4 linked regions of the Alligator mississippiensis genome follow. The protein of the gene in region 2 binds, or shares a complex with, the protein of the main gene of each other region. Links are inferred from orthologs where the notes say so. Each region holds a gene or a part of one and is shown on either strand. Other genes may lie near its edges. The genes, in order: TMEM216, TMEM237, B9 domain-containing protein 1 and B9D2.

The links.
Region 1: TMEM237 (region 2) and TMEM216 share a complex: the UniProt entries of both Homo sapiens proteins name them as parts of the tectonic-like complex. The link is inferred for Alligator mississippiensis from reciprocal best matches to the Homo sapiens genes TMEM237 and TMEM216.
Region 3: TMEM237 (region 2) and B9 domain-containing protein 1 share a complex: the UniProt entries of both Homo sapiens proteins name them as parts of the tectonic-like complex. The link is inferred for Alligator mississippiensis from reciprocal best matches to the Homo sapiens genes TMEM237 and B9D1.
Region 4: TMEM237 (region 2) and B9D2 share a complex: the UniProt entries of both Homo sapiens proteins name them as parts of the tectonic-like complex. The link is inferred for Alligator mississippiensis from reciprocal best matches to the Homo sapiens genes TMEM237 and B9D2.

The regions. Positions count from the first base shown.
Region 1 is NC_081825.1:177,624,836-177,631,789, reverse strand, and holds the start of TMEM216 (transmembrane protein 216), read right to left. Parts: upstream 3,011-6,954; 5' UTR 2,923-3,010; coding exon 2,910-2,922; intron 2,588-2,909; exon of another isoform or gene 1,940-2,587; intron 1,246-1,939; coding exon 1,144-1,245; intron 733-1,143; coding exon 640-732; intron 266-639; coding exon 64-265; intron 1-63. Other genes in the region: TMEM138 (transmembrane protein 138), read right to left, coding at 3,674-3,786, 4,071-4,146, 6,332-6,503, 6,579-6,709. UniProt on the Homo sapiens protein: Part of the tectonic-like complex which is required for tissue-specific ciliogenesis and may regulate ciliary membrane composition.
Region 2 is NC_081827.1:170,806,879-170,814,416, forward strand, and holds the start of TMEM237 (transmembrane protein 237), read right to left. Parts: upstream 3,009-7,538; coding exon 2,990-3,008; intron 1-2,989. UniProt on the Homo sapiens protein: Component of the transition zone in primary cilia. Required for ciliogenesis.
Region 3 is NC_081836.1:55,341,164-55,348,824, forward strand, and holds the start of B9 domain-containing protein 1, read right to left. Parts: upstream 3,004-7,661; 5' UTR 2,960-3,003; coding exon 2,894-2,959; intron 1-2,893. UniProt on the Homo sapiens protein: Component of the tectonic-like complex, a complex localized at the transition zone of primary cilia and acting as a barrier that prevents diffusion of transmembrane proteins between the cilia and plasma membranes.
Region 4 is NC_081838.1:1,541,100-1,548,275, forward strand, and holds B9D2 (B9 domain-containing protein 2), read right to left. Parts: upstream 3,004-7,176; 5' UTR 2,584-3,003; intron 2,150-2,583; 5' UTR 2,147-2,149; coding exon 2,059-2,146; intron 1,631-2,058; coding exon 1,505-1,630; intron 1,422-1,504; coding exon 1,108-1,421; 3' UTR 498-1,107; downstream 1-497. Other genes in the region: EXOSC5 (exosome complex component RRP46), read right to left, coding at 4,441-4,533, 4,691-4,780, 4,988-5,128, 5,283-5,404, 5,607-5,720, 5,797-5,893; BCKDHA (2-oxoisovalerate dehydrogenase subunit alpha, mitochondrial), read left to right, coding at 6,364-6,429, 6,993-7,172. UniProt on the Homo sapiens protein: Component of the tectonic-like complex, a complex localized at the transition zone of primary cilia and acting as a barrier that prevents diffusion of transmembrane proteins between the cilia and plasma membranes.

The sequences.
Region 1 (6,954 bases), on a different chromosome or scaffold from region 2:
GGGCTACTCAGGGTCTTCCTCCCCTACCCATCTCATTTCCCCCTACAGCAGAGGAACAGTTACCTGGAGAAGGAGGCCAGGGTGAGGATGCCCAGGAGCAGCTCCACAGCATAGAAGAGCAGCAGGATGGCATTAAGGATGGCCTCCAGGCGCAGGGCATAGGTCTGCAGCAGCAGGTAGTAGGCTGCCATCACAGCCGCTGGGAAGGTCAGGGCCAGGCTGATGGAGAGTGGCACCTTCCGCTGGCACAGGTTCCCCTTGGAGCCTGTCATGAAATGTGGCTGTGAGCATCTCATGCACAGCCCGTGTCGTTCCCTACAAAGAGGTGGTGCTCAGGATCTGCCTGCCCACGGAGCCCGGGAATCGGGTAAAAGGTTCTTTGCCTCTAGGGCACTGGCCACAGGCCAGGAATGTGGTACGGGGAGATTCCTCCCTATGGTATTGGTTCTTGTTGGATGCCCAGTTGGGTTCTTGTTGGGCGCCCAATTGGCTGAAGTGAGGAGCCCCTTTGCTTTAGGACAGTGACCCTGTGGTGGGGACCAAAAGCCACTTGTTTGACAACTGCTTGTCACCAGCCCAAGCCCACCCCAGGCTCTTACCATGAGGTGGCACCTGGCCCTGTTCTTCCTAAATACTCACCAAAAAATATCCGTGTGACTTCGATGCCAAGGTAGAGGAAGAGCATGACCAGGTCCAGGGCCAGGTTGGCAGATGGGTAAGGTAACAGCAGCCCTGTGGCACAAAGGCCATCCCTTTCAGGAGGAGAGCAAGGCCACACCCCCACCCTTTTTCTCTGGGGTGCCACTGTCCCTTACCCACTGAATAAACTGATAAGCCCTAGGGATGTGCCAGTGGTCAGAGAGGTTACAAAGCCCAGGGAAGACAGGCTGTCTAACAGCTCCTGCCTGAGCCAAACTGCAAAGTTTCTGGCTTTCTCCCACCCCTCCCTGCTCAGGTGCAGTCTTGCAGGGGGCTGGGGCCACTGATGTAGATGGATGGGCTGGAGCGGTGCTAGGGAAGCCTCTAAGTATGCAGGGGTCAGCTCATTCTGTCGCTCTTCCATCAGCCTGTGGGCAGCATCTGATGTCCAATGCAATCAGTGGTGGGCTACAGCACATACAAGCGCCTGGGAAGGTCTCTTACCCTTATAGACAAATATGAAGATCTCCAGGAGGAAGTAGGTCGCGTAATACCAACCATTGAGGAACAGCAGGATTTCCAATGGGGTGGAGGAGAGCTGGCGACCTGGGGGGTGGGTGGAGAAAGCAAGCAGAGCATGAACAGGTAAGGCACCTTAGCAAGGAGGAGGAAAGGGTCATATATATTTTCCCAAGATGCTGCTCCCTCCTTCTTGGCTGAGGAGCTGCATGGCTCTCTGGGGGCATCAAATGCATGGGGCTGAACAAGAGGAAAGGTGGTGAAGGCCCTGGTGTGCAAGGAATCTAGGATGCTCCTCCATCCCCAGCTCCATGGGAACTGGGCAGGTTGCTGAGGGCTGGTGTTAAAAGGCTCCTCAGCATCCTAAAATGCAAGTAGGGACCTAACGAGGTCTTCAAAGGGCCTGGTGCTAACACCCCGGCAGTGGGTGAGGAACAAACCAATGTGACGGGCTCCCTACTCTAGCCCTGTTCATCTGCTGGTCCCAAAGCACTTTGTGAAGGAAGGCAGCTGCCCCCATATTACAGGTAGGGAAACTGAGGCCCATAGAAGTGAAGCAACTTGCCTTCAGATCTATGGCAGAGCTGGGACCAGACTCCCATTCCCGGCCAGAAAGAAGGTGCTGGCCAAGGGGAACTGGGGTGCCTTCCTTGCCCACGCATGCCTCTGAGAAGAACGTCCCTAAGCAGCATCCACAGACTCCCTGGATCCACTCAAGGGGCAGCGGGCAATAACTGGCGTTTCCTGCTCAGTGATCTCTCTCGGCGCCCTCCTTACCAACCTCTGACCTGTGCTCCCGTTCCTGTGCTTTCATCCCTTATCCAAAACACTTAGTCATCCTTCATGTAGTGGCTGCTCTCCACCCACTGAGGGGGCCTGTAGTTCCTGATGAGCCTGGGACCACCATCGCTGTGTAATGATAGGCCTAGCTCTCAACCTCAGCATCCTGGCCGCGAACAAACACACAAGCTCCTGGGGCTGGAAGTTGAAGCCTGCCACCATTAGCCTGGAAATAAGGTGCATGTCTCGAGCAGTGAAGGCAAGTAACCGTTGGAACAGCTTTCCCCCAGCTTCTACCTCCCCAGCTGCTGCTAAACCAAGGCCAAGGGGTTTCTTTGAGACCCGTTCTGGTTCAAAACACTGTTGTGGGGGGGAGGTCCTCTAGCCTCCGCCATTCAAGACATCAGACTGTAACCAAATGATTCCCTCCACACCCCCATCTGCAAAGAAATTGCGTTAGACACATCTGATCCCAAGTTACTCCCTGTTTCCTCTTGCTAAGCTAGGGATAACATAACCCACCGCTCTCGCTGCCCGTTTGGCCTGTCAGCGCTTTGCAGCGAGGGGCTGCTCTGTGCTGAGGCTGGGAGCTGCCCCCCTAACAGACGTTGGCGCCACAAAGGAGGTTCAGCAGCTGGTCCGCCCTCCTCCTTACAACTGCCTGGTGCTGTCGCAGGGTCCTCGCCCGGCCGGGCTCCGGAGCTAGGACCGGACACAAGCCCCTCCCAGGGGCAGCCCGCGCCCCGTTTGCAGCCGCCGCGCCCAGCTCCGACATCACGCCCCGGGTCTTGCTCTGCCTTTCTCCGCTCAAGGGCAGGGCCCCCCCCATCACTGCCCAGCGCCGGGGGCTGCTCCCGGGGGCTTTGGCCACTGGACCTGCGGGGGGGGCCAGTAGGGCGGGCCCAGAAGGGTCACGTGACCCCCGCGGAGGCTGGGGGAGCTCGGCCTGGTCCCGCGCCCCCCGCACTTACTTCTGGGCGCCATCTTCCATCTCCATGGAAACCATGGCACGCAGCGCCGGCGCTTCCGGGAGCGCGGGGGCTGGCGAGCAGCCCGCCGCTCCGCCTCTGGAGGACCCGCTCGGAGTCACGTGACACCCCCCCCCCCCGGGGCGGCCACTGAGACTTCTTTCCCCGGCCGCGGCCAGGCTGGGGGGCCGCAGCCAGAGCAGGGGATTCAGCCTCTGGCCTCCTGCGACAGTAGCCACTGAGAGTATGGCAGGCCAGCACCCTGGAGACTCGCCTGCATGCACACACACAGCACCAGGTTTTGGAAAATGGAGCCTTTTTAATTTTCTGCTCGTTTATAAAACGGGGTACAAAAGGACAGGCTAATGAGGGCAGAGAGGCCCCAGGGCCGTACAGCCAGCCTCGGCCTGCCCAGGACACCAAGTGGAACGGGCGTGGGAGCTGCTGCTAGCAGGTGCCCGGAGCTGAAGGGCGAGTGACAGGCAGGGGGATGAGAAAGGGCAGCTGCGGTGCCAGCAGGGCACAATCACACACATCTGGCCCTTCGCGTCAGTGCATGAGGAGGCAGCAGCTAGGGCCAGAGCAGGGCTGGGAGTGGTCCACACTCTCCGGCGGGGAGAAGGAGCGGAGGGGTGCGAGTGAGGGGCAGATGCAGCATTGAGGTGCTGGCCTCGAGGGTGACTGTCCGCCTCTCTTGGAGGGTGCTGAGCAGCGAGGTGCAGAACTAGTGGGCAGACCATCCCCAAGTCCAGTGCCTGAGAGGATCATCAGGTGCGGATCTGAGCAAACTCTTTGCGCAGCCACATGGAGTCCTGGTAGAAGCGGGGGTCACCCAGGTGCACAGCAGTCCTCTTGTAGAAGTAGTAATACAGCACAGCCGCTGGTGGGAGCGAGAGTGGGTGAGAGCAAGCCCAGCAGGCCAGAGCTACCCCACCCCCACTGCCTAAAGGGGCACACCAGTGTGCTGGGAGGCCTCATGCCCCCAGACAGAACTGGGAGCCTGGCCAAACACTGTGTCTTAACCCCCAATCCCAGGCTGGGGGCACCATAGCCCACCCCACTGACAGCACAGTAGCTGTGCTGTGTGTGCAGGGAGGGCTGTTAATGGCTCCCTGCATGTCTGTCCATCCCTCTGCCCTGCATCAGTCTGCCTCCAGCCCTTACCCAGCCTCTGGAACACGAAGAGTGCCTGCAGCCCATCTGTCCACACGAAGCCATTGGAGTCCTTCCAGCGCAGGTTCTGAAAGAGACACACATACACCAGGAGCAGAGGCCTTGGGTGGGGGGGACATAAGCCCAGTGCCAGACCACAGCACTGCCTACTGGGTCTCTTCTAAAGGGCCACAGCTCCCCCTCCAGGCTTTGTTCAGCCTTCAACTTATGTCACACTAACTGCAGCTCCTCAGTGAAAGGCAGCTGTGTCAGCTTCCCAGAGCCAGTTGGTGCCCCCTAGTGGGCAAGCAGGGTGAAAAATCCCTCCACTGCCCTGATCCCTTTCCCTGCAAGAATAACTGTCTGTCTCTAAGCCCATTCTGATTGTAGACACAGAGCAGAACAGCCAGGGAGCAGCTCTCGAAGCATGCAGAGGTTAATCAGAGATCAGCCTGGAAGCATCTCTCTGGGAATCCTCTTAAATCACCCTGTCCAGGCAGAGCCACAGGCAGCACCCACAATGCAGAAGCCCTCACCTGATCTAGGCAAAAGGCACCTCAGAGCAGTGGGGCTATGGTCTAGGAACAGGGATGCAGGCAGAGGGAAGGGATGAAACAGGATACCTGGGTTCTACCCTCAGTTCTTCTGTTTGCTTACTCTGTGGTTTTGGGTGCATCACACACTCCCCCTGCTGTGCCTTGGGATAGCTTTCCAGCACCTCTTGCCAGGGCAGTAATCCCATGCAACACATCACACCTGCCATCAAGCCACTCTGACAGTGGATTAGCTTTACTTGGAGAATTGGTTACTACAGGGAACCAGAGCCAGCAGCAGCCCAGCATCCAGGGCAGGCTACTCCCTTCTAGTCTGAGGACTCCCAGCCACAACCATTTCACAACTCTTGTCTTTTTAAACATGACTCCCTCACCGTATCCCACTTAGAAAGCACCCACAAGTGATCACTGAAATCAGCAGCTTGGCCCCTGTCAGGAGGGTGCTGTCTAGCACTGGCTTTGGTTCTCCATGGAGCAAGATCATCATGAACAGAAAGTCATGGAGTAGTAATAGTCCCAGCTGTCAGGTTTGCATGACCTGATGCCAAGCTGACAGCCAGGTCTATAACCCTCCAGGCAGGAGGGAAACCCTCTGTTTCTCCACTGGGAGAGCTGCTTCCCTGCCAGCCTTGCTCTGGCACCAATGCCTCTGCTTGCTCTGGCACCGATGCCTTTGCTTGCTCTGGCACTGGCCTCCAAGTGCTGCTGGGAGGAGGTGGGCTAATCCTCACATTTTGAACCAACAAACCCTCTCAGCTCTGTACAATGCCTGAACTGTTGAGTGACTGCCCCCAGCCCCAGCCTCCTTTCTCACTATGACACCAAGAAAGGCCTGGACTTAGACAGCAAAGCCTGCCTGCAGTCACAGCACAGGACCCAGCCTGGGAAGCACCCCCAGCAATCAGTTTGCAGTCCCAACCAGGATTATGCCCTCCAAAGCAGTAGCTGGCCAGACATTCAGTAATGGAGGAATGTCCCACCCTGAACCTGGCAGACAGTATGAGTTTCTGCTTGGCCCTGCATTCAGCCTCCTGGGATGTGGCAGCGCAATGCTGGGAGTAGAGAAGCAAACTTAGCCCCATCCAAGAAAGATTCTGTGCACCTGAGGAGAGCAAGATCCTCCCTGTCACAAGGGAGACAAGAGTGGAGCTCCCCCCAACCCTGCTGCTGCCCTCTGGGAGGACAGGAGGGAAAGGGACTTGCACTCTCTTCCCTAATGCTCCAGAGCTCCTCCCTTGTTTGGAGCAAGGTGTGACAAACATGTTCAGGGAGGTCCTGGGGGCACAGGGGCTCTGATACTGCGTGGCTACATGCAAGTTCATTCTTTTCGTAGCCCCACTGTGTCTCCAGGTGAGTCGGGGACATGGGGTCCTTCCAAGGTGCAAGAGTCCTGACCTCTCAGACTGAAAGGGCAGGGTAGGATCCAAGCACAGCTTCAGCCTGGCAAGACTTCACAGGAGAGGTTCTCTCTAGCGGGTGGCCAAAACGGGCTGGGTACACCACAGGGAGATCCTGGGGCCTACGTCTGAAACTGTAGATATCAGGCACTGTCAGAGGGGGCTACCAGAGGAGGCAGATTCATCCCGCAGGGTGTCAGGTACTGCTGGATGAGCTCAACTGCTCTGGAGGAGGATGAAGTCCCTGACTAGACAGATAAGGGATTCTTATGCCCCTTGGCGAGACGCCCTGATCCCAGAAGCTGGCACGGTCCTGCCCTACCATGACCCAGATGTGGAAGGAGATGCTCAGAGCCAGGTACACTGCCGACAGGATGATGGTCCCTTTGAACTTATGGAACAGCAGGTTGACCAGGCCGGCCTGGAAGACGAAAGTGTTGAAGAACATGAGGAAGATGATGATGACGTTGAAGAGGACGGCAATATCCTGGATGCTGTGGGGGAGAGAGAGGGCGGTGAACTCCCAGGCACCTGTGGGGACCCTGCCATCCCCGGTTGCCGGCACTCACATGAAGAGCACGAGCTGGATGACGGGCGCAGCGCGCAGCAGCTCCGAGAAGGAGTTGACGAAGAGGTCGTAGAAGAGCAGCAGGAACTGCAGGGAGAGCACCATGCTGTAGCTGCTGGTCTGCAGCATCATCTTTCCCCGCGGGCCGTGTTCTCAGTGGCTGCATTCCGGGCTGCGGAGCCACCTCATTCCCGGGGCCCGGGGCCTCCTGCGCCGCCTCGCCCTACGGACGCGCCCCGGAGCCTGGGGGGTGGGGGAGGGGGAGATGTGGGTGTTATTCCTGGCAAGGCCTGGGCCGGGGGGAGGAGGGGGACCCTTGCCTACCCCGTGCCCGTGACACTGTCTCCGCACAGGCACCCCCTCCCAACGGGCCCTCA
Region 2 (7,538 bases):
TGGGGGTTATGACCTCCCAGCCAGGCTAGGCCTGCCATAGTACATTAAAAAGAAAGAAAATATTATAATGATGCTCTAAAGAATAATAAAACTCATTTAGATCATAAAGTCCAAGTTTAGATACCTCATCTCAAAACAGACAACAGAGAATTATACAATCCAGAAAAGGGCAACCAGAATTGACAATGGTAAGGTATAGCCTGTGCAATGCATAGCTGATTTTTTTTCTTTTCCAAATTAAATCATTCTCCATCTGAAAAGGAGGATTTTCCCCAGTGTTTCATGTTGGGCAATCAAAAGCAATTAATACTTTTGAAGAATCTGGTCCACAAACACATAAAGCACTTAGGCAGCTTGGAGACATTTAAAAAAGCTCACTAAAGCACCTGATCTGTACAGATGTTGAGTGAGCCGGGTCCAACTAACACGCTGCCTCTTCTGGGCATATGCAGAGCTTGGCACAGGAGTGCACCAAGTTTAAATTATAGTACTGGGGGGGGGTGTTTGCAAGCAGCTTTAATAATTTATAATAGTTAGCAACCTGCTGTTAGGCAAAACTTTAGAAGTTCACACATTTAACATTAAAAACAGAACCAAGAAAAATAAACAGAAACCTAAAAGGACTCTGTATGGACAGAGTTTTGTCAACAATGAACCAACTCACCATGGTTTCCACTTCAGTTCCAAGGTTTTTTTCCCATTATATTGGAAAGAAACATGAAAAAAACAATATTAAAGGACAAGAACATTAGTGTTAAATCAGTTGCAATTCAGAACTGTACTAAAACTCAAAATGCAACCGACTTAAAGCATAAAAATGTATATGGTCTATTCACATCCCTTAACCTTACTTTTTACAACCATTTAAATATGACAACATTAAGGCTGCTTAACAAGACCGAAGACTGAACATTTTGTCTGCCTCATGTGACTAGGTACAGTTTCTTGATTGGTTAGCTGTAGATACAATTAAAAGCTTTTGTTAGACTATTTAATTAGAACTTGTCTGACTGTCTGCTATGCATGAACCAAGGAAAGAAGCTATAAATTAGTCAGGCAAGCAGCTATTTCATGATCAGTATTCACAGTTTCCTCTGTGATGTTTACGAGTACAATGTTACAGCTGTGTGAAGCTTTGGTCCCTGATTTGATTTGGCAGAGATTTGGCTTGATTCAGTGGCCAAATCTCCAAATCGAATCAGAGGACCCTTTAATCTCTCCAACTCAAATTGGAGCCCTCCAAATCGATTCAGAAAGATTCGGAGATTTGGACATATACACAGCTTTAAATGTTTTTTCTACATATCTCTAGGTAGCAGGCAGCTCGCGTACTTAGCAGCAGTCCTGGTAGTGGATCAGAAGCACTTCCGGTCCACTTCCAGGTCCGCTGGGGAGCACGCAGGAGGCGCCTCCCCCCCTCCCCTGCACCCCATAAGCTCAGCAACTAGTGCCTCCTGGGTCTGGGGGGGCACCCAAGGTCCCCCCATGGCTGATTGCCGATCGCCAAGCTGGGAAAGGTGTGGGGGGGCCCCCCAGAGCACTCCCCAGCAGACCTGTAAATGAACCAGAAGTACTTCCGGTCCATTTCCGGGTTCGCTGCCTAGCACGTGGAGCGCCCCCGCCCCACACTCCTGTAGGACGCTCCATGCACCCCAGCATCGCAGCGATCACAAGTCACGCCTGGTACCTCGACGTATGTAGAAAAAACTTTTAAAGTTATGTCTATGTCCGAATCACTGATTCCCTGAATCAGCATCGAAACTTCAGATTCAGATTTGGCTGAATCAAATCAAGGACAGTGATCTGAATCAACTAATCGAATCACTGTCCCTGATTTGGGCCAAATCTGAACCTGAATCAAATGGGGCCCACTTTGCACACCCCTAATGTATATGCGCCTCCAAGTACTTTTAAGAATTTTGACATAACGGACCATAAAAATGCCCAATTCCCATTCCTACCATCAAAACCTATCTTGATGTATGGAACATAGAAATTTAAGGATAAAATCTTTTCAACTCCTGTGTCAATATGGCATATTCAGAAAATTCTTATTCCCATATTCAAGATATGTTGGACACCAGTCTGATAAAAAAGTTTCTACTCAAAGCTCTCAAAATCTAAAATATAGACAAGAGGAGACATTTGGAAGAGGAAGATAAGGGGCTGAAAATAAGTTAGTGAGACTGAAGTAGCCTTTTTGTCTATGACTTTTTTTCTTTTTACCTGTTTTTCCCCCAACAAATAACACAAAATGATGAGGTAATATAACAAATTAAACTGCTTCCCAGTCTCTTTAAAAAATGAAAAGTCTTACAAGAGTAGCAGGGACCCATACCCCTAAACTTCTAGATAGTCAAAGTTAAGGCCTTGTTATACGTTAATTTTAGGCAGCTCCTGGAGCTTTTAACCCCTGAACACATTAACACCTGGAATTAGTTTTAAGCACTCTTTAGATCAGTGGTTCTCAACCTTTTTTGGACCAGGACTCATTTGTAAACATGGATGGCCAGGCCCGCCCTGGTGCCCCATGCTCCCAACCCGCTGCTCCATGCCCCCAGGCCCCAACCCACAGCATGAGGAGCAGGGGGTGAGCATGTGGGGGGCACCAAGTAGCCCCTTGCAGACTGGAACTCTGCCAGCCTGCAAGGGAAAAGTCATGGTTTCCCATGTTTTTCTCCTTTAAAGAAGAATCCATTTTTAAAGTTTGTTCATGACCCTTTTATATATTCTTGCTACCTGCTTTTAGGTTGCGACCCACGAGTTGAGAAACACTGCTTTAGATGGCTTTGTTATGCCACTCCAGGCTATATTTCTCTGATCTGTGTCACCTAACTTGTGTTATACATGCATACAGCAACTCTAGGCTACACATTAGTGTTACACCCCATCCAATCTCCAGTTCCCCTGCTGGCCTGAATCAGGCATGCTGCCCCTGCTATGTGCTCACCAGCACCTCAGATCCCCACTGACTGCTCCCCCCACTTACTTGTGGCTGCCCACACCATCTGTCCTGGGCAAGCAGGCAAGGAAAGGTTAATCTGCCTGCCAGTCCTTGCTCCCTGGGCTAGGCTCAGCCCTGAGAAGAGCAGCAAAGGGGAGGAGAGGGGGGCAGGCAGGTAGGTAGGTGGGTTAACCCTTCCCTGTCTGCTCCCCTGGGATAGACAGCAGCCACAAGTAAGAGGAGGGGTTGGGAGGTGGGAACCCCAAATTGGGAGGGGAGGATTCTTACTTCTCAGTCCTCCAGGCCCCTGTTCGCCTGAATGTGCGACTGCCCCAAATTCAAGCTAGCAGTAACACCAATCAACATTTGAGCAGCTCACAGTGTAACATACAACAAGGCCCTTACACTGTCCTACCACTTGCCCATTTTTAAAGGTACTTTTTAAAAAAGTAGTTACAATTATTTGCTGCTAAGGTAAAATCTTGTATAACAATGTAGTCTATAGCAAATTTCTTTGGTGAAGTGTGAAAATATAATATAATTAGATTTATAAAAGGAAAAAGCCTTAATTTTAGTTTTAAAAAATGATAGATCTACTCTTAAATTACGTTAAAATTTTATTCAGTAAAAAATTAAAACAAAGAGAGAGCAATATTTGTCACCTTAGTGAGATTTTGCTAAATCATTTAACAGCATTATGAGTGCCTTATGTGTTTACTGCACTCATCTTTCTTAATTTCATAATTTTCAAGTACATTCCAGTGTTCCCAAACTACCAAAATACATAGAATAAAATAAACCTACCTTGGCACAGGAGGAAGGGCACGGGGTGGACGCTGAAACAGAAAAGACAAAAACCTTCCATTAGTGTGTCATGAAATCTTTTACCTTTTGAGCCCCTACTAAATTATTTCAGAGAAAACAGCTAATTCCAAGTATGACCTTGGAATGATATTATGTTAGATGTCTCTAACATAGGCTACATCGATAGTCTTCCGAAAGGCAATTCTGAACACTGTATGTATAAACAATTCACAAATATGTTTTGAGATCACTGGATGGAAGTTAAGATGTAGAATTGTAAAGCAGTGTCTGGTACATATTTTGCGTCAATGCCTCAGTTCTGATACGTGCTATATTTTAGATAAACTATAACCATCTAAGTGGTAACAGTACTCTTTAAATACCTTCACCTTTTTATAAGAAAACTACATGCATAGGAAAGACAATTTATCATTCTAGTCAGGTACTGAACACAATAGAAGAACACTGCTGAAAGTAGGCATTTAATATCAATATATTTTTATATTATATCAAGAACAATTATAGGAATCACCAATGAAATCTTACATTTAGAAGTACAAACAAGGGCAGTGAGATAGTCCTGACTGTTGTTAAAATGCCGACTAGACTGTTTAATATTATAAAATGTTCAATAAAACAGAATATTTTCACAGTGGTGAAGATCATGACCATAAGGGAAAACAGAATTAACACTCAAAGAAAAATATTTCTTGTTGACAGAATAGCAGGTGTATAGCCCACACACTTGATAATTCTCTTACCTAGAAGAGTAAAACAGCTTAGATTCAGATTATTTATTGTCTTAGTGTACTAGACAAAAGGGAAAACTACTCCACGCTCCAGATAAAAACTTAAATTTAAATAAAAGCCCCACAAAAATGAAACAAGGCAAAGTTCCTCCAAACTGAACTTACCACTTGCTTCTTTCCCATGTCATTTAAAGCTGGTCCCTGAGAGAGACACTAAACTATTCCCTCTGACACTGCTTACATTGATCGTCAGCTAATTCAGCACTAAAAATAAGCTTCCCAGACAAGATTAACTGTATGTGAACCTCGCTGTCCCCAATTTAGGACCCGATACTACTCACACTGAAGTCAATAAGAGTTCTGCCATCAGCTTCCACTAGGAGCAGCAATGGGGCTGTTATTACTGCGTACAACTAAAAATGCAAGACCTTGACACCCTGATTCTTTACCAGTGATTCAAAGCAGGGGCTGTGGCAATCTCAAGATCCTTTCAAGGAGGCTGTGGGGTGCCACACAATGTTAGGCATTGTTAGGTTTTCAAACTTGACTCACAACATAAACCCAGAGATTTCAAACAGAAATCCATAGCTATGATCTTTTTGATTTCTTTGCAACAGAACCTTCCCCCCCCACACACACATACACACACTAGTTTTCTGTAGGCAAAGAGTAAAAACTAAGAGCTGACATTCTCCAAGGCATGCCTCTAGTCTCTCCAGGGGGTCCTTGAGTCTAAAAATATTGAGAACCACTCCTTTATTTACATGAGTAAACTTTAGCTATGCTAATTTAACTGAAGCAAGTGAGACTAGTGTGAAGATGGATTTGACCTCATGTCCCTATCCTAGATTTTATCTATGTTAGAAGGTAGACTGAAAGCAAATACAATTTATATGGCAGTGGATACAAACACCCTCCCATCAAGATCCATGAAGCCAGCTGCTACTTACTCTTCTTGTTGGACAATTCCAACAGGAAGCTTAGCAAAAATGTTGGCAGAGTATAACCCCACAATCAGTCATAGCTTTTTATGCACATATAATCATTATTAGGTTTTTAAAAACTAAAATCTGAAAAATTTCAAAACAACTTCATTTGCCAACTCTGCACAATATATACTGTTATCTACTAGACTGCAGCATATGCATTTGTCAGATATTCCTCAGGAGATCAAACAACAAAACAAAATCTCATTCGCAAACAGAAACGGTTCTAATGTATTCAGGTTATAAAATATTCCATACTGTTATATATGGGAGACTTCAATCACCCTGACATCTGCTGGGAGGACAATACAGCAATGCACAGGCAATCCAGGAAGTTTTTTAAATGGTGCAAATGCTGGAGTGGCCAACTAAGGGCTGTGCTCCTTTTGATCTGCTGCTCACAAACAGGAAAGAATTGGTGGGGAAATGTAGTAATGGACGGCAACTAGGGCAGCAGCAACCACGAGATGACTGAGTTCAGGATCTTGAGGAAAGGAAGGATGGATAGCAGCAGACTAAGGACCCTGCACTTCAGAAAAGCAAACTTTGAGTTGCTCAGGGAACTCATGAGCACGATCCCCTGGGAAGCCAGTTGAAGGGGGAGAGGAGTACAGGAGAGCTGGTTGTACTTTAAAGAAATCTTAATGATAGTGCAGGAACAAACCATCCCGATGTGCAGGAAACCTAGCAAGTATGACAGAAGACCAGCTTGGCTTAGCTGGGAACTCTTCAGTAAACTAAATCACAAAAAGGAAACTTGTAAGTGGAAACTCAGACAAACAACTAGGGAAGAGTATAAAAGTATTGCTTGAGCATGCAGGGATGAAGTCAGGAAGGCCAAAGCACAACTGGAGATGCAGCTAGCAAGGGACACGAAGGGTAACAAGAAGGGTTTCTACAAGTATGTCATTAGCAAGTGGAGGATCAGGGAAAGTGTGGGTCGCTTACTGAATGGGGGAGACAACCTTGTGACAGAAGATGCAGAAAAGGCTGAAGTGCTCAATGTCTTTTTCACCTCAGTCTTCCCAGGCAAGGTCAATTCCCAGATTACTGCACCTGGCAGCATAGTCTGAGGAGGAGGTGAGCATCCCTTAGTGGTGAAAGAACAAGTTATGAACTACTTAGTAAAGCTGGATGTGTACAAGTACATGGGACCAGATGGAATGCACCTGAGGGTGCCAAGGGAGTTAGTGATTACAGAGCCACTGGCCATCATCTTTGAAAACTCATGGGGATCGGGAGAGATCCCAGATGGTTAGAAAAGGGAAAATATAGTGCCCATCTTTAAGAGGAAAAGAAGGATCCAGGGAACTACAGACCAGTCGGCTTCACCCCAGTCCCTGGAAAAATCATGGAGCAGATCCTCAAGGAATTAATTTCTAAGCACTTGGAGAAGAAGGTGATTAGGAAAAGTCAGCATGGATTCACCAAGGGCAAGTCATGCCTAACCAATCTGACTGCTTTCTATGATGAGATGGCTGGCTCTGTGGATGCAGGGAGACAAGTGGATGTGGTATACCTTGATTTTAGCAAGGCTTTTGATATGGTCTCCCACAATATTCTCACAGGCAAGCGAAAGAAGTACGGGCTGGATGAAAGGAAGTACAGGTTGGATAGAAAACTGGCCATATCATGAGGGACAGAGGGTAGCAGTCAATGGCTCAATGTTACCAGCCAGTATCAAGCAGAGTGCCCCAGGGGTCGATCCTGAGGCCAGTTTTGTTTAATATCTTCATCAATGACCTGGAAGATGGCATAGAGTTCACCCACAGCAAGTTTGCAGAAGACATCAAGCTGGGGGTAATAGTAAATATGTTGGAGGGTTAGATTAGGATTCAGAGACACCTAGACAAATTGAAGGATTGGACCAAAATAAATCTCATGAGGTTCAATAAGGACAAATGCAAAGTCCTGTGCTACAGATGGAACACACCCATGCACCAGTACAGGCTAGGGACAGATTGGCAAGGCAGCAGCTCTGCAGAGATGGACCTGGGAGTTACAGTGGACAATACGCTGAATATGAGCCAACAACAGTGTACCCTTGTTGCCAAG
Region 3 (7,661 bases), on a different chromosome or scaffold from region 2:
GGAAAAGGAAAAAAGCAGGATCCAGGGAACTACAGACCAGTCAGCCTCATCTCAGTCCCTGGAAAAATCAAGGAGCAGGTCCTCAAGGAATCCATTTCTAAGCACTTGGAGGAGAAGAAGGTGATCAGGAACAGTCAGCATGGATTCACCAGGGGTAAGTCATGTCTGACCAACCTGATTGCCTTGTTTGACAAGGTGACTGACTCTGTGGATGTGGGGAGACCGGTGGATGTGGTGTACCTTGATTTTAGCAAGGCTTTTGATACGGTTTCCCACAACATTCCCGCAGGCAAGCTAAGGAAGTCATGGGCTGGATGAATGGACTGCAAGGTGGATAGAAAACTCGCTGGAGCATCAGGCTTAATGGCTCGATGTCTAGTTGGCAGCCGGTATCAAGTGCAGTGCCCCAGGGGTTGTTCCCAGGGCTGGTTTTGTTCAATGTCTTCATTGACCTGGAAGGTGACATAGAGCACACCTTTGGCAAGTTTGTGGATGACACCAAACTGGGGGGAGTAGTAGATATGCTGGAGGGTAGGACTAGGATTCAGAGAGACCTCGACAAATCGGAGGACTAGAGCAAAAGAAATCTCATGAAGTTGAACAAGGACAAGTGCAAAGTCCTGCATTTAGGACTGAACAATCCCATGCACTGGTGCAGGCTGGGGGTGACTGGCTGGGCAGCTGCTCTGCAGAAAAGGACCTGGGGGTGACAGCGGACAATAAGCTGGATATGAGCCAGCAATGTGCCCTTGGTGCCAAGAAGGCTACCGGCATCCTGGGCTGCGTTGGTAGGAGCATTGCCAGCAGGATGGAGGGCAGTGATTCTTCCCCTCTAGTCAGCACTGGGGAGGCCACATCTGGAGTCCGGTGTCCAGTTTTGGGGCCCCCACTACAGAAGGGATGTGGACAAGTTGGAGTCTAGCGAAGGGCAACAAAAATGGTTCAGGAGCTTGGGGACAGGACTGGTGAGAAGAGGCTGAAGGAAATGGGCTGATTGAGTCTGCAGAAGAGAAGACTGAGGGGGATTGAACAGCAGCCTTCACCTCCCTGCAGGGGGGCTGCAAAGAGGATGGAGCTGGGCTGGTCTCAGTGGGGGCAGATGACAGGACAAGGAGCAACAGGCTCTAGTTGCAGCAAGGGGAGTTCAGGTTAGATATTTGGAAGATTTTTCTCCCTAGGAGGGTAGTAAAGCACTGAACAGGTGACCCAGAGAGGTGGTGGAGTCTCCATCCTTGGGGATTTTCAAAACCTGGCTAGACATTGCTTTGGCTGGGATGCTGTAGTTGGGGCTGGTCCTACTTTGAGCAGGGGGTTGCACTAGCTGTGCCGTCCTGAGCTCCCTCCCAACCCTAACTTTCTATGATTCTACGATCATCTCAGGGAAATGCATGATTTCAAGTTTGTGAACAGCTGACCAATTTATCCTGGGACAAAGCCTTTTATCCTGGCATTCTCCCTTGCTTGCTCCAAGGGCCTTATGGCTAAGGGCAAGCAAAACTCGGGGGCATCCGAACCCCCAGCCTCCGGGCTTGGGTCTGCCATTGGGATGCCCACCAAAGGATTTGGAAACATCTGAAGCCCCAGGTGCAGGTGGAGGATGTTTGCCAGTAGTAGGACCACTTATGGTTCTGCACTCTTGGATTTGGAATTAGTTTTGGCTAATTTGGCCTTGGATACAAATTTTAAATATATCTGTAGGATGCCAGGATTTATTTTATATATATATATAATTTTTTTTATATATATATATATATATATATATATATATATATATATATATATAAAATAAATCCTGGCATCCTACAGATTTACAAGCTCCTCGTCCCATATTAAGCACCTGTCAAGTCTTTGAGGGTAATAAACAGATGACAGGTTTAATCCACGGCTGATAGATTTGACTCGCATTAAAACTGATTCGCCTGAGATTTGACTCACGTTAAAAGATGTAGCTCAGCTGTCTGAACACCAGGGTTAAATGGCAATGAACTTGAATTAGCTGCGAGCGTCCCAAGGCCAAGCATTAATTTGGACGCTTCCTGCGTACTTGATGTGGACGAACGGCCAGTCCCGCTGGGGTTGCCTGAGAAATGCTGAAATCTGAATCTAATCGGTTGTCTAATCAGTAGCCCAGAGGAGCCCTTTCCCCCCGGATGATCGGGGCTAGTTCGAGCTCATTGCCATTACTCTTTGGGTCATGTTACAGACAAGGCTCATTGGGTAAATCCGGTATCTTTTATTAGACCAAATGGAAGACATGGAACAATTTTTCTTTGCAAACTTTCGGGTGCAAACCCCCTTCTTTGGGTCACCGTGCAGCCGGGGTGAGTGCAGGGGTGGGATATGTCTGGGGACAAAGTCCTGGATCGGACTTGCCGTCCAGATGCTTCCCACAGACGTCAAGGGGGCTCATCCCTTTGCATGATCCTGGGAGAAAAGAATTTATCCCGGGGCAAATCCCACCTGGTGGGTAAAACACGCCACCAATAATGGGGTGATGCCCCTCCCACCCTTGCCCCCTGCCCAGGGCGCCCCCTCCACCCTGCTGCCCAACTTGGTGCATGCTCTCTGCATTCCAGCCCAGCAGGGGGCGCAATAGCGCATGCGCTCTGCGCAAGCTCCTCCCCCCCACTCGTGCCCCGCAGAGGATGCAATGACGCATGCGTTCTCCAGGGAACCGGACCCGTGAGCACTAACCCAGCAGAGGGCGCAACAGCGCATGTGCTCTGCAGAGGCTCGGCGTCCTGCCCGGCACAGGGTGCAATGGCGCATGCGCTCTGCGGGGAGTCGGGGACATCAGCCTACAGGGGGCGCCCCGAGGAAGGGGGCGGTCACCCCAGACTCCAACGTGGGGGGGGGGGGGGGTGTAATGGCGCATGAGTGCAGCCGCACTTACCTGGGCGCTCTCGATCTGCCCCGTCACCATGAGTAGGAAGACGCTGGGGCTGGCGGCAGCGGCCATAGCGGCGGGCGGCCCGCCCCGGCTCGTTGCTAAGGGCCGCTGTCGCGCCGCTCCTTAGATACCGGACGGCGAGGCGCAGGGGACACACTTCCTCGCGGGCGGCGCTGCGCCAAAGGGGCGGGGCCAGCGCCGGGGCTGGAGCGCTCTGCCCTGCTGCGGGCTGTCCGGAGCGCTTCGCAATCAAACCCCGCCTGGCTTCGCTTCGCTTCGCTTCGCTTCGCTTTGCTTTGCTTTTCTATAGAAAAAGTGAAACCTGAGCTGGTCCCTTTTTTTGTATCTTTGTTTTTTGTTTTTACTAGAAAAAGTGAAACCTGAGCTGGTCCCTTTTGGGGTATTTTTTGGGTTTTTTAAAGTGAAACCTGAGGCTGGTCCCTTTTGTGGTTTTTTTTGTTTTGTTTTGTTTTTTAGGAGTTTTTTTTTTTAAACTAGAAAAAGTGAATGTGAAGCTGGTCCCTTTTGTGTGTTTGTTTTGTTGTTGTTGCTTTTTACTAGACAGTGTGAAACCTGGGCTGGTCCCTTTCCGGTTTTTGTTTTTTGGGGTTTTTTTTTTTGTTTTTTACTAGAAAAAGTAAAACCCAAGGCTGGTCCCTTTTGGGATTTTTGTTTTGTTTGGTTTTTTTTTGTTTTGGTTTTTTACTAGAAACAGTGAAACCCGAGGCAGGTTTTCCTAGAGTCAAAAAACCGCCCAAAACAAAACAAGAAGCAACCCCAAATGAAACCCAGGGCTGGCATTGTCGGAGTGTGACAAGCTTGGGGAGCAGGCGTACGGCTTTCCTCTGCCCCCAGATCCTAGGGAAAGCCTCTTCCACCTTCCTCAAGACGAGGTTGTCATTGCCAACCCTCCAGGACTGCCCTGGCATCTCCAGGAATTAGATATAAACCCCTAGGAGATGACTGAGAGTCGCTGGGAGGATAAATGAGAGGGCATTCATTCGGATAAATATGCAATGTTGAATCTGATTTGTACAGTAGTCCGGTGGGGTTTGTAAAATGTCAGCGTCCCGTGCACCGGCCTTCCGGACGTGAAGTCTGCGCACCGTAATGAATGTTGTCCCGTCACGGGATGAAACCTCCTGGAATAGATTCAAAGGAAGTTGGCACCCCTGCAGTCAAAACCCCTATTCTTCTTCACCAGGGAAGACCGCCTGCCGTTTCAAAACGCCTTGCCTCCCATCTGCTTTTCACAGAGCTCCTTCGGAAGCTGGAAATGGGGTGAAAATACCCCGCTGGTCGCCGGCTAGGATGGCAGAAGCTCTTCTGTCCAATTTAGATGATGGATTCATATAGGATGGGTCAGATAGGGATGATCCTGCCTCAGGATCCCTTGGTGACGTCTGGAGATCCCTTCCAGCCCGGCTTCTCTGTGAAGCAAGTTATTAAAAAATAGATACACTATTAAGAGAACGTAGAGGTGGCTGCGTGTTGTGTTTTTGAAGCCCACGCTGGAAACAAACTGGTTTTTCAAGGGGATCTGATGAGCTGGCTTTTGGGCTCTTTTGAGTCCCTGGAAACCTCCCTGTATCTCTGTTTCTGGACTCTGTCTCAGCCTTTTGCTAGGGGTTTATTTTGAAGTATTTCCTTGTTCTGGAAAACCAGATGAGTCCCTCGAGATGGTGGGCAGCCAGTGGAGAAGGCGAACCAGCACAGCTAACTCTAGGAGCCAGCACTAATCTACCTGGATGCATTCAGTAGGTGCGTCTACACATGCACAGTTACCGCACAATAATTTAGGTTACGGTGCAGTAACCGAAAATTACTGTGCAGTACGGGCACGTGTCTACACGTGCACGCCCGTACTGTGCAGTTACTATGGCGACTTAGGCTGACTTGGGTGTAAATTTGCTACTTGCATGATTGAGGTAGGAAATTTATGCCCAATTAGTTATTGCGCAGTAAGGCACGTGTAGTTGCCTTACTGTGCAGTAACACTGTGTGGACTGACTTGGGACTAACTTTAGTTAGTCTACACGTGCAGGTGTTACAGCATAGTAACGTTGTGCGTGGACTGACTTGGGACTAGCTTTAGTTAGTCTACACGTGCAGGCGTGTACGTGTGCAGGCGTTACAGCATAGTAACATTGTGTGTGGACTGACTCTGGACTAACTTTAGTCCCAAGTCAGTCCACACAGCCTTCCTACGCTGTAACGCCTGCACGTGTAGATGCTGGCCTAAAAACCGCTTACTGCGCAGTAACTTGCTGCACAGTACATGCACGTATAGACACGCCCAGTGTCTCTGTTCAGTTCGCTTGGCCTGTTCAAAAAGTCAGACTCGGGTTGAAAGGAAGTTTAAAGGTTGTCTCCACACAGTGGCATCCAAGAATGAAGCTTTAGGCGCGTCACACAGGCCTGGAACAAAGTGGGCATCGTGGGAGAAGTAGATTTGCTGGGAGAGGAGGAGAAAGGGCAAGTGCGTAGGTTGGGGCCAGGCAGAGAGAAGGCACTGTCTTGAAAGGAGTGGGCAGCCTCATCCCCCCACACCTTCAAAATCGACCCGTTCCTGCTTTCGGCACGCAGTGGCATGGTGCACCATAACTTCTGCCAGCTGTCCTGGGTTAAAGTTTAAAAACTGGAGGCCTAACTTGATCTCATGCCTTACTTACCCTGAGTGTCTAGACCACTGTCTACTGAATCTGCTTATATTTCACCTAAGCCACCATATACATACAAACCTGATCGTATATTCAAGTGCCGCAGGCCCCATCCAACGCATCTGGACACTGGGCTTGCCCTTAGACTTATTTATTCGACACATGGTGTAAACCTCTGATAAGAATCAGGTCAAGCAAATCCCATTTTGCTCTCCGATATCCAGTGGGCGGCTACAATCAGATCCGCAAGGCAGCGGCCTGACCGCATGAGAAACAAAACGTTCCTTGTACAAAACCCAGCCAGTTCTAGCAGGCGTCCAAGAGATGATTGCAAAATCTTTTGTTTCTGCCAGAGAAAAATAGCCTCGATGTTCACTTGGTTCCAAAACAAATATTTTGATTTGAAAATGTAACGTTCAGAGAATAAGCCTGTTTCTTTTGGACTTGCGGCACCTGAAAGAAAATCTAAACTTTGCTGCCGCATAAATAGGTAACGCTGCTGACTGCCACTAGATGCCACCAGCGGATTACCAGTTGTGGGGCTGCTCCTATCATTAAAAGGAAATATGGCTTACATTGCTGTTGAAAGAAAAGTTTAAAGGCACCACAATATTTTACAAGACAAAGAGGGCAGAGTAACTCTTAACCCTGCACGCTCACCATAACTGAACAGCGTTAGCTCAGGTTTTTGGAGATATTTAGGTGCTTAGCTCTCGCTGAACTCAGTGGGATTTAGGGGCGTAGAAACTTTGGAGAATCTCACTGTCCATATTTGAGCGCTTTAGGGAGCCATATAGTTAGGAGGGGGATTTGCACATTGGTCCAAGGAGACGATTTACAGTGCATTTCATGGGGGAGGACAGCTTAAGAAATGGATGAACACAACCACAGCTCCTTTAGCAGAACCTCTCATCCTGCAGAAGGGTGAAGTGCTGAGATGGGCTCGTTGCTGGGATCTGCTGAGACTATTGCTGAATGACGAGGGGAAGAGATATTGCTCCCCACCGGTGAGAAGTACCATCTTGGCTGAGAAGCTGGAGGCACTGACTGCTGAGGTTCCCAGTCTACTTGGAAAAGTTTTCCCAGCGATGATGGACGATACTGTGGGGGGAAAAATAAGTCACGTACATCTACATTTGCATCATGGTGCTGGCAAGAGCCCCAGTGTAGGGACATTTATACTTGCAGGATCGGGCCTTTGCCCATAGTCTAGTCAGGGAACTGGTATATTATACACCAGTAAAAGAACTGGTGTGCCTAAGTAGCTTCTCCCTGGGGTGTCTGGTTGGTACAGCTACTCCAGTTATCTTTTCCCAGCGTGAACAAGACCTCAGGCCTTTCCAGTCTGAACTCCAGTGCCAAGTCGGACCCCATAACAGCCCCGCATCCTTCACGGCTCGAGGACACAACATGCACCGGCCAGCACGTTTCAGCCATGCAGCCAGGCAAACATGAGATACGTGAGACGGCTCGTGTCCGCACGCAGGCAGGCTTTGCAAGCCACCTTAGCCAGATGAAACTTGGGGCAACCTGTCACCTCCAAGCTCTCGATTCCCAAACGGTTGCTAACCAGGGGTGCAAATTAGGGCAGCCTCCTACAAGGTCTCCTCTTATCAGACATCACAGTGCTGAGCACAGTGTGCGACGAGTGCAGGTGTCTACCACGCTCCCGCACCTTGCGGTCCTGAAAGCAAGTCAAGTACTCTTTGAGTTGCAGCACGTCCTAGCTGGAAGCATAATGACCCCGAGCGCTAAGTGCCCTTATGCCACGGGCAGCACTTCCTAAACCAAACTGGATCCATTCCCTAACCTCAGCGCCCACCAAAACCTTGCTGCAAAGAGAACGGGCTGTTGCCACCAAGAACCTGCCCCAGTCCCATGCTCCGTGCTGCGAAGGGGGCTCTCCTCACCCAACCCGTGCCTCCCACAAATTGGCAGATATCACCATTGAGTGAAACGATGGGGAACGGCCAAGGGAGGAAGGAACCGAGGTGCACCAGGCAACGAAGGGGAGATTTCAGGTGAGCGATGGAGCGATGCAGGCTGTTTCAGAAGGCAGGAAAGCAAGGCTTTTGGCCAACACTGCTGCAATGGCAGTTACTTCCCAGAGG
Region 4 (7,176 bases), on a different chromosome or scaffold from region 2:
CAGCTCCCAGGGAAACCCAGGGCTCCTGCCCTCCCCCCCCCCGCTCTAACCACTAGGCCCGGGGCCCAGCAGGCAGCCCCCTGCTCTAACCACTACACCCCACTGCAAGCGGGGGGCGGGGCAAAGACAGGTCTCCAACCCCTCGCCCCGCCCCCCTCTCCCAGAGGACCCAGGTGTCTGCCCCCTGCTCCTTGCCCGCAGACCCCTCCCCTTCCCAGGCATCCGGGAAGCCCCCCCCCGCCCCCCTTCCCGGCATCTGACCCCTCGTTAGGCTGAGCCGAGCCATGGGACTGGGCGGGGGGGAGGGGGGGTCTCTGCCCAGCCATGGCAGGGGTGAATGGGGGGCACAGGGGGGATGGGAGCCGGCAGCAGGGCGCCCCCTGGTGGGGCAGCGCGGAGGTCATGGCAGCTAGTGGAGGGGGCTTCTTTTGCCCCTGGGGGGCAGGAGGTGCCCCAGGGGAACCTCTGGGCAGAGACAAACTCCCCCCGAGACCTCGTGGTACAAAAGAGCCTTTATAGAAAAAGGAGGGGGGGTCTGTACAAATGGGGGGGTCTCAGAGCCGGGAGGGAATCCTAGTGCAGGGGGGTCTGGCCCCACATCAGCGCCAAGACCAGCAGCGCGGTGGGGGGGCCTCTGTCCGCCCCCAGCCACAGCCCCTCGGCCTTCCCAACCTCCAGGGTGGGTCTGGGGGGGCAGGAGGGGCCCGCGGGGGGTCCATGGGGAGCCTCAGGGGGTCAGAGGGTGTGGCCCCAGGGGAATGGGGGCAGGGAATGACTGTGGGGGGCTCTGTGGGGGGGCCAGGGGATAGTGGGCGGGCAGGGGGAACCTGTGGGCAGTAGCGGGGGGCCGTGGGGGTCTCTGGGAAGCGCCAGGGAGTAAGAGGGGTATGGGGGGGGGGAGGTGTAGCCACAGGGGAACGGGGATGCAGGTAGAGGCCATGGCAAGCATGGGGGGGCTGTGGGGGGCAGAGGGTAAGAGGGACAGGGAGATCCCGTGGGGGGGATCTGTAGGGGGGGTTTATAGGGGGCCCCAGGTGGTAGGAGGGGCATTGGGGGGTCAGGGGGACTCTGGGGGTCCTCAGGGAGCGCCCGTGGGGGGGGGTGGTGCTAGCACTCAACGCCGTAGCGGGCGAAGTGGCGCGGCAGGACGCCGAGGCGCAGGTGCACGGTGCCGGCGGCGGTGGTGCGCAGGCGGTGGCGCTCGGGCGCGGCGGCGGCAGCCTGGGGCTGGCGCAGCTGGGGGCCCCCCCCCACGAAGCGCTGTGCCAGGCGCTCGGGCCACGACCCCCGCGGGCGCCACGTGGGGCAGGCGATCGTGTGGCAGCCGGGCGCCGCTGGCACGTGCAGGCAGCCGTAGCCGTACAGCTCCGTGCGCCCAAACCCGTCCTGGTGCCACACCTGCAGGTGCAGCTGCGGCCAGCCTGAGGGGGCAGGGGCAAGAGGGGATTAGGCAGGCTCCTGCGCCCCCATCCCAAAATGCCCCCGGGGGGGGGCAGGTTCTCACCCTGCAGCCCCTTGGTGGCGAAGTGCACGTCAATGGGGTGGCACCAGTAGGCCACGTCGTCCAGCTGGGGCTGGTCCACCTGCGTCTGCCCCTCCGGCAGCCCTGACAGCAGCTTCCAGGCGCCGCCTGCCAGGGGGGCACGGCCGGATGGGACCCAGGCACCCGCCCCCCACCTGCCCCCACGCTCCCACCACCAGGCCCTGCTCCTCTGCTGGGCCTGGGGAGGGAACCCCTCACCCCCCCCCCCAACAACCACTAGGCCCTAAAGTCCAGGAGAGAACCCAGGTGTCTGAGCCCCCTGCTCTAACCACTACACCCCACTGCTAGCTGGGGGGGGGGAGAGCAAAGCCCAGGCCTGCAACCCCTCGGCCCCCTCCGCTCCCAGGTGTCTGGGCCCCCCCCTCCGCCTGCTCCTTGCCCGCGGACCCCTCCCATCCCGAGGAGCCCAGGCATCCGGGAAGCCCCCCTCTCCCCCTTCCCGGCATCTCACCCCTCATTAGGCTGAGCCGAGCCACGAGACTGGGGGGGGGGGGGGAGGGGGGGCGGGCACCGACCTGCGTGGATGCCCCACTTGCAGAAGAGGCTGGTGCCGGGGAAGCCGCTGGCGCCCACGATCTGACCGATGACGTGCAGCTCGGCCATGGCCTGCGGACCCCGCGCCCGGCTCAGCACCCCGGGGACGAGCTGCCGGTGCCCCCCCCCCCACGCCCAGCCACTGCCCCGCACCCTGACCCCTGCCCCCACCCACTGCCCTGCGGCCCCCTGCCCCGCCCCGCACACCGACCCCCTGCCCCCACCCCCCAGCCACTGCCCTGTACCTTGACCTGTGCCCCCCCCCCCGTGCCCCCCGGGGCCCTGCCAGCTTGCACATGTGGACACATCTGTCACACCTGTGTCTGCACCCCCGCACATACCCCCTACCTTGCACACTCACTCTGTGCACACTCAGTGTAACAACCCCCATGCATGTCGCCACGCGCACTCGCTCGCTCACCCACCCTGCGCGTGCCCCCTTGCACACTTACCCCATGCCAGCCCCTTTGCACGCTTCACTTGTGCCTAACCCCTCACCCACTCACCGTGCAAAGCCCCTTGCACGCTTTACGTGATGACTCCCCTCTTGCAGTTATGCAAAGTCCATTGCACACTCACCCGACACACATCCTTGCACACTCACCGTGCCAACTCCTTTACATACTCTGGCAACACACACACCCTTGCACACACACCCGGCCCAGCCCGTTGTACCCGCTGGCACGCTCCCCCTATGCGCACTCCTTTACACGCTTGTCCCGTGCACGTCCCTTACATATTCAACCTGTGCACACGCCCTTGCACACTAACCGCGCAAAGCCCCTTGCACACCCCTCTTGCACCCTCACCCTATGCACACACGTGCGCCTGCACCCGCAGGACTCCACTCGCCCCTGCACTCCGGACCACTTCCGGATGCCGCTGCCACGGCAACCGGGCAGGCCCCTGCGGAATGCCGGCTTCTGATTGGTCGGAGTACCGAGCGCGCTGACGTATCACTCGCAGCCCCGCCCAAGAGAGCGGGAGGAAGGGAAGAGAGCGCTGCCCGCCATCTTGAGGAGGTCGAACTGCCGCACGGAGAGCGCCGCCATCGTGGGAAGGGAGCACGATGGCCGGGCGCAGCGCCACCTTGGGTGTGGCAAAGCAGCATTGGCCGCAATAGGAGAGCGCCACCATCTTGGGTGGGTCACAGGCCCGGGGGAGGGGCTCCGCCGCCATATTGAGTGTGGCAGGGCCCAGGGGCAGCTACTCTAGGATGCCGCCGTGCATGACCACCCTCATGGGGGTGCCACAGCTCCACCGCAGCCACCCCAGAGTACCACCGTCACCTTTAGGGTACCACAGCGCCATGGAAACCCCCGTGAGGGAGCCACAGGTCTCAGCTGCCTTAAGAGGGGCATCATGGCTCCAGGGCGGCCAGCGTGGAACTGCCCCAGCCCCATGGCAGCCACCCGGGGGTGCCACAGCCCCAGGGTGGCTGTTTTGTGGGGTGCCACGGCCCCTCACTGTACACCTGGGGCAGGCCATGGCCCTGGGGACACGTTTTCCAGCAACAGCCTTGCTGGCAGCCCGAGGTGCCCTGCCAATGCCCTGAGGGCCACGGATGGGCCCTACTTCCCCCTCCCTTGCGCCCCAGCAGCACAGGCCCAGAGGTAGATAGGTCTGCACGTAGCACCCTCGCTCTGCGGCCTGGCAGCCCTATGGGCCTCCACCCCTGCCTTCGAGAGGGGTCCGGGCCAGATCTGGGGCTGTCGGTAAACGAAGAGCCCAGCCACAGCGCCAGGCTTGTTAGGCAGAGGCTTGATAGGATGCTGCCCACACCCCCAGAGCTCATTAAATGCAGCTAACGGGTCCCCCGCCCCAAGCGCCACAGCAGCCGTGGAGAGCACAGGTCCCACCACCCCCTGGCAGCCCCTGCCCCCCAGTCCAGCCAGTGCCCCTCACCCCCAACCCACCGCCCCCTGCCCGTGACCAGAACCAAGGGGAAGACTGGGGGTGGGGGTAGGGAAAGGTGGAGAGAACCACCCCCCCCCGGGGATGGGGAAGCCACCAGTATACGTGTGTACACACACACACACACACACACACAGGTAACCAACCACAAAAAACATGTGTCATTAAGGACAAGACAGATGCTTGGGTGCTGGGGGGCAACAGCACAGACCGTGTGCTCTTTATTTGGGGACCCCAATGCCAGAGCAGGCCCCCCCATCCCACCAGAACACTGGGTAGCCCCTGGGCGGAAGCACCCCTCACTCCCACCCCTCCGCCCCCACTGCTGCCCCTCACTCCCGACCCACAGCCCCCCCCCACCTTCAGTTCAGCTGCCCATTGCTGCCCTGAGGCATGTCCTTGCCCCCCCCCCCCCCGGGTCTGCGGGGGTCCGGCTCCCCGCAGGGGCCTCAGCTCTTGGAGAACTTCCTTCTGGCCGAGTCACGGTAGAACTGGAAGATGGTGTCGGTGGCGCGCTGAGCCAGAGCCAGGCACTGGTGTAACTGGGAGGAGGAATAGAGGTCAGGGCTGCACTAGGACCCCAGTACAGGCAGGCAGGCAGGCAGCCAGGCCCCTCCCCCCCAGGAGACAGGACCCCACCCAAGGCATGCTGGGATTGCCGAGCACCCCCAGCCTAACGGGGACGACGGGGGCGCTCACCTCCTTGGCAGAGCAGGCCCCGCGCGTGGTGGAGAGCAGCAACCTCTTCTCCGTGCTCTCGAAGGCGAAGGTCAGCACCGCCCGGGCCTCCTGCGGGGCAAGAGTGTGACCCCAGGCGTGCAGGCTCCCCTCTGCCCCCCAGCAGCCCCCCTTCCTCCTGCAGCCTCACACCAAGGAGCGATCCCGTCCTAGATTTTAGGCCCCCCCCTTACTCCACGCACGAGGCATCGCCCCCCTCCCAGAGAATCCAGGCGTCCGGCTCCCATCTGCTCCCCCATCCCTTACACCCCCCCCCACCTTCTCCTGGCGGGCGCTGGGGTCCAGAGCGACGGCGCCGTCGGGCGCGAGGGCGCAGGTGACCCCGCAGAAGAGCGAGCGCAGGGGCAGCCCCGCGTCCAGCAGCGCCAGGCAGGCGGCGTTCAGGCAGCACGACAGCAGCTGGGCCCGGGGTCAAGGCCAACGACCCGGTCCCCGGGGCCTAGCGGTTAGAGCAGCCTCACCCCCACCCCACCCCCCGTCCTTCCCAGGGGGCCCGGCGAGGTTGAACGATGACGAGGGGGGGTGCATCTCTGCCCCCCCCAGGGCAGGATACGGAGCCGGCGTCGCTGACGACCTGCAGCACGAGGGTGACGGAGGAGCGGGGGTGCAGCTCGCCCAGCAGCGCCGCCTCGCACGCGCGCCGCACCATCTGCTCCCGGCTCCGCTCCAACACGCCTGCGGGGGGTCAAGGGTCAGCAGGAAGCCCCGCCCCCCGTGACCCTCCAGGGAGGGCATCACCCCCCAGTGCAAAACCCAAGTGTCCAGGCCTCTGTAGGCGCCCCCACCCCGTCACGTGATGGGGAGAAGCCCGTGCCCTCCCCCCCACGGCACGGAGGTGGAGGGCGGGGAATGACCCCGGGGTCAGGGGTCACCTCACCGGGGAGCCCCACTTTGGGCCGCAGCAGCACGTCCAGCGCGGCGCGCTCGGGGCTCTCGCGGCTGCTCCGCACCTCGGCCGGGCCGTAGACGCCCGCCAGCACCGACGTGTCGCCTGCGGGGCACCGGGGTCAACGGGGGCGGGGAAAGCCCTTAGCCCCGCCCCCACGCTCGAAGCCCCGCCCCCGCACCCTGCACGAAGGCGGCGGAGCCGTCGGGCCGCGACAGTAGCCCCTGCTCCACGGCAAAGGGCCGCAGGGCGCAGCCCGGCTCCGGCTCCGAGCCCATGCCGCCCGCACGCGCAGCTTCCGCTTCCGGGGCAGCCTTCCCCTCCTTCCCAACGCGGCTCCTGCCCAATCGCAGCGTCTCTTACGCGCAGTCCCCGCCCCTCGAGGCGGGTGGGGGGCTGGAACGCACGGCAGCCAATGGATGCGCCTCTTGGGCGCCCCTACCCCGGATAGGCCGGAGAAGCACGCGCCCCTGCCAATCACGGCGCCCAATGGGTGCAGGCCCCGCCCCTCTCCCTGACAGAGGGGCCGGGCGCGGCCCAGCCAATCAGCGCGGCGGGGTGCGCGAAGCCACGCCCCCTCTCCCTGACAGGGTGTGGCGTTGTTCCTCGTTAGCCAATCAGCACACCGCGTAGGCATGGGGCGGGGCCACCGTGGGGGCGGGGCTTCCCTAAAAGGGCAGAGACACGCCGTTGCTATGGTGACACCCCCATTCCCCCTTCTCCCATCGGCCCCCGCGCCCGCACCAAGATGGCGGCGGCCTGTGGCATGCGGAGGGGCCTGCGCCTCCTGCAGCTGCGGGGACTGCGCACGGGGGTGAGCGCGGGGGCGGGGCCTGCGGGGCGGGGCCTCGGCGGGGGCGGGGCCTGGTGGGGCACATCCCCCCTAGGTGGGGGGCACGCGAGGGGGGTGTCACGTGTGTGGGGAGGCAATCCTCCCACAGTGGGGTGGGGCAGGGGTTCTCCTGGGGGGGCGGGATGAGCTTTGCCCCCCCAGCAGTTACCCCCACCCTGTTTTGGGGGGGGCAGAGCTGGCTTTAGCCCCCCTGGCAGCTCAGAGGGGTATCAGCCCCCCCATCCTGGGGCAGGTGGCAAGCACGCCCCCCAGCCTCGGCCACTGATTGGTCCGCACCGGGGGCGTGCCCCCCCTCCCCCAGCTGGCCCCTCCCCGCGGCCTTGACATTGCCGCACCCAAGGGCACCCTGGTCCAGGAGGTGCCGGGGGGGGGGGGGGGGGGGCACAGGGACCGCCCCAAACACCAGCCCCCCCGGGTGTAGATGGAGGGCAGAGCCCACCCCTTCCCCGCACAGCTCGGGGGGCCCGTGACATCATCTGGGGGGGGCACCGCGGGGCCTGATGGGTAACGGCGCCCCTTCCCAGCATGCCGCGAGGCAGCAGGAGGAGTTCCCGTCGCCGGCGGAGCGCCCCCAGTTCCCCGGCGCCTCGGCCGCCTTCGTGGACACGCTGGACTTCATCCAGCCCAACGTGCTGGCTGGCATCCCCGTCTACCGCGTCATGGACCGCCAGGGCCAGATCCTCAACCCCAGCCAGGACCCCCAGGTGA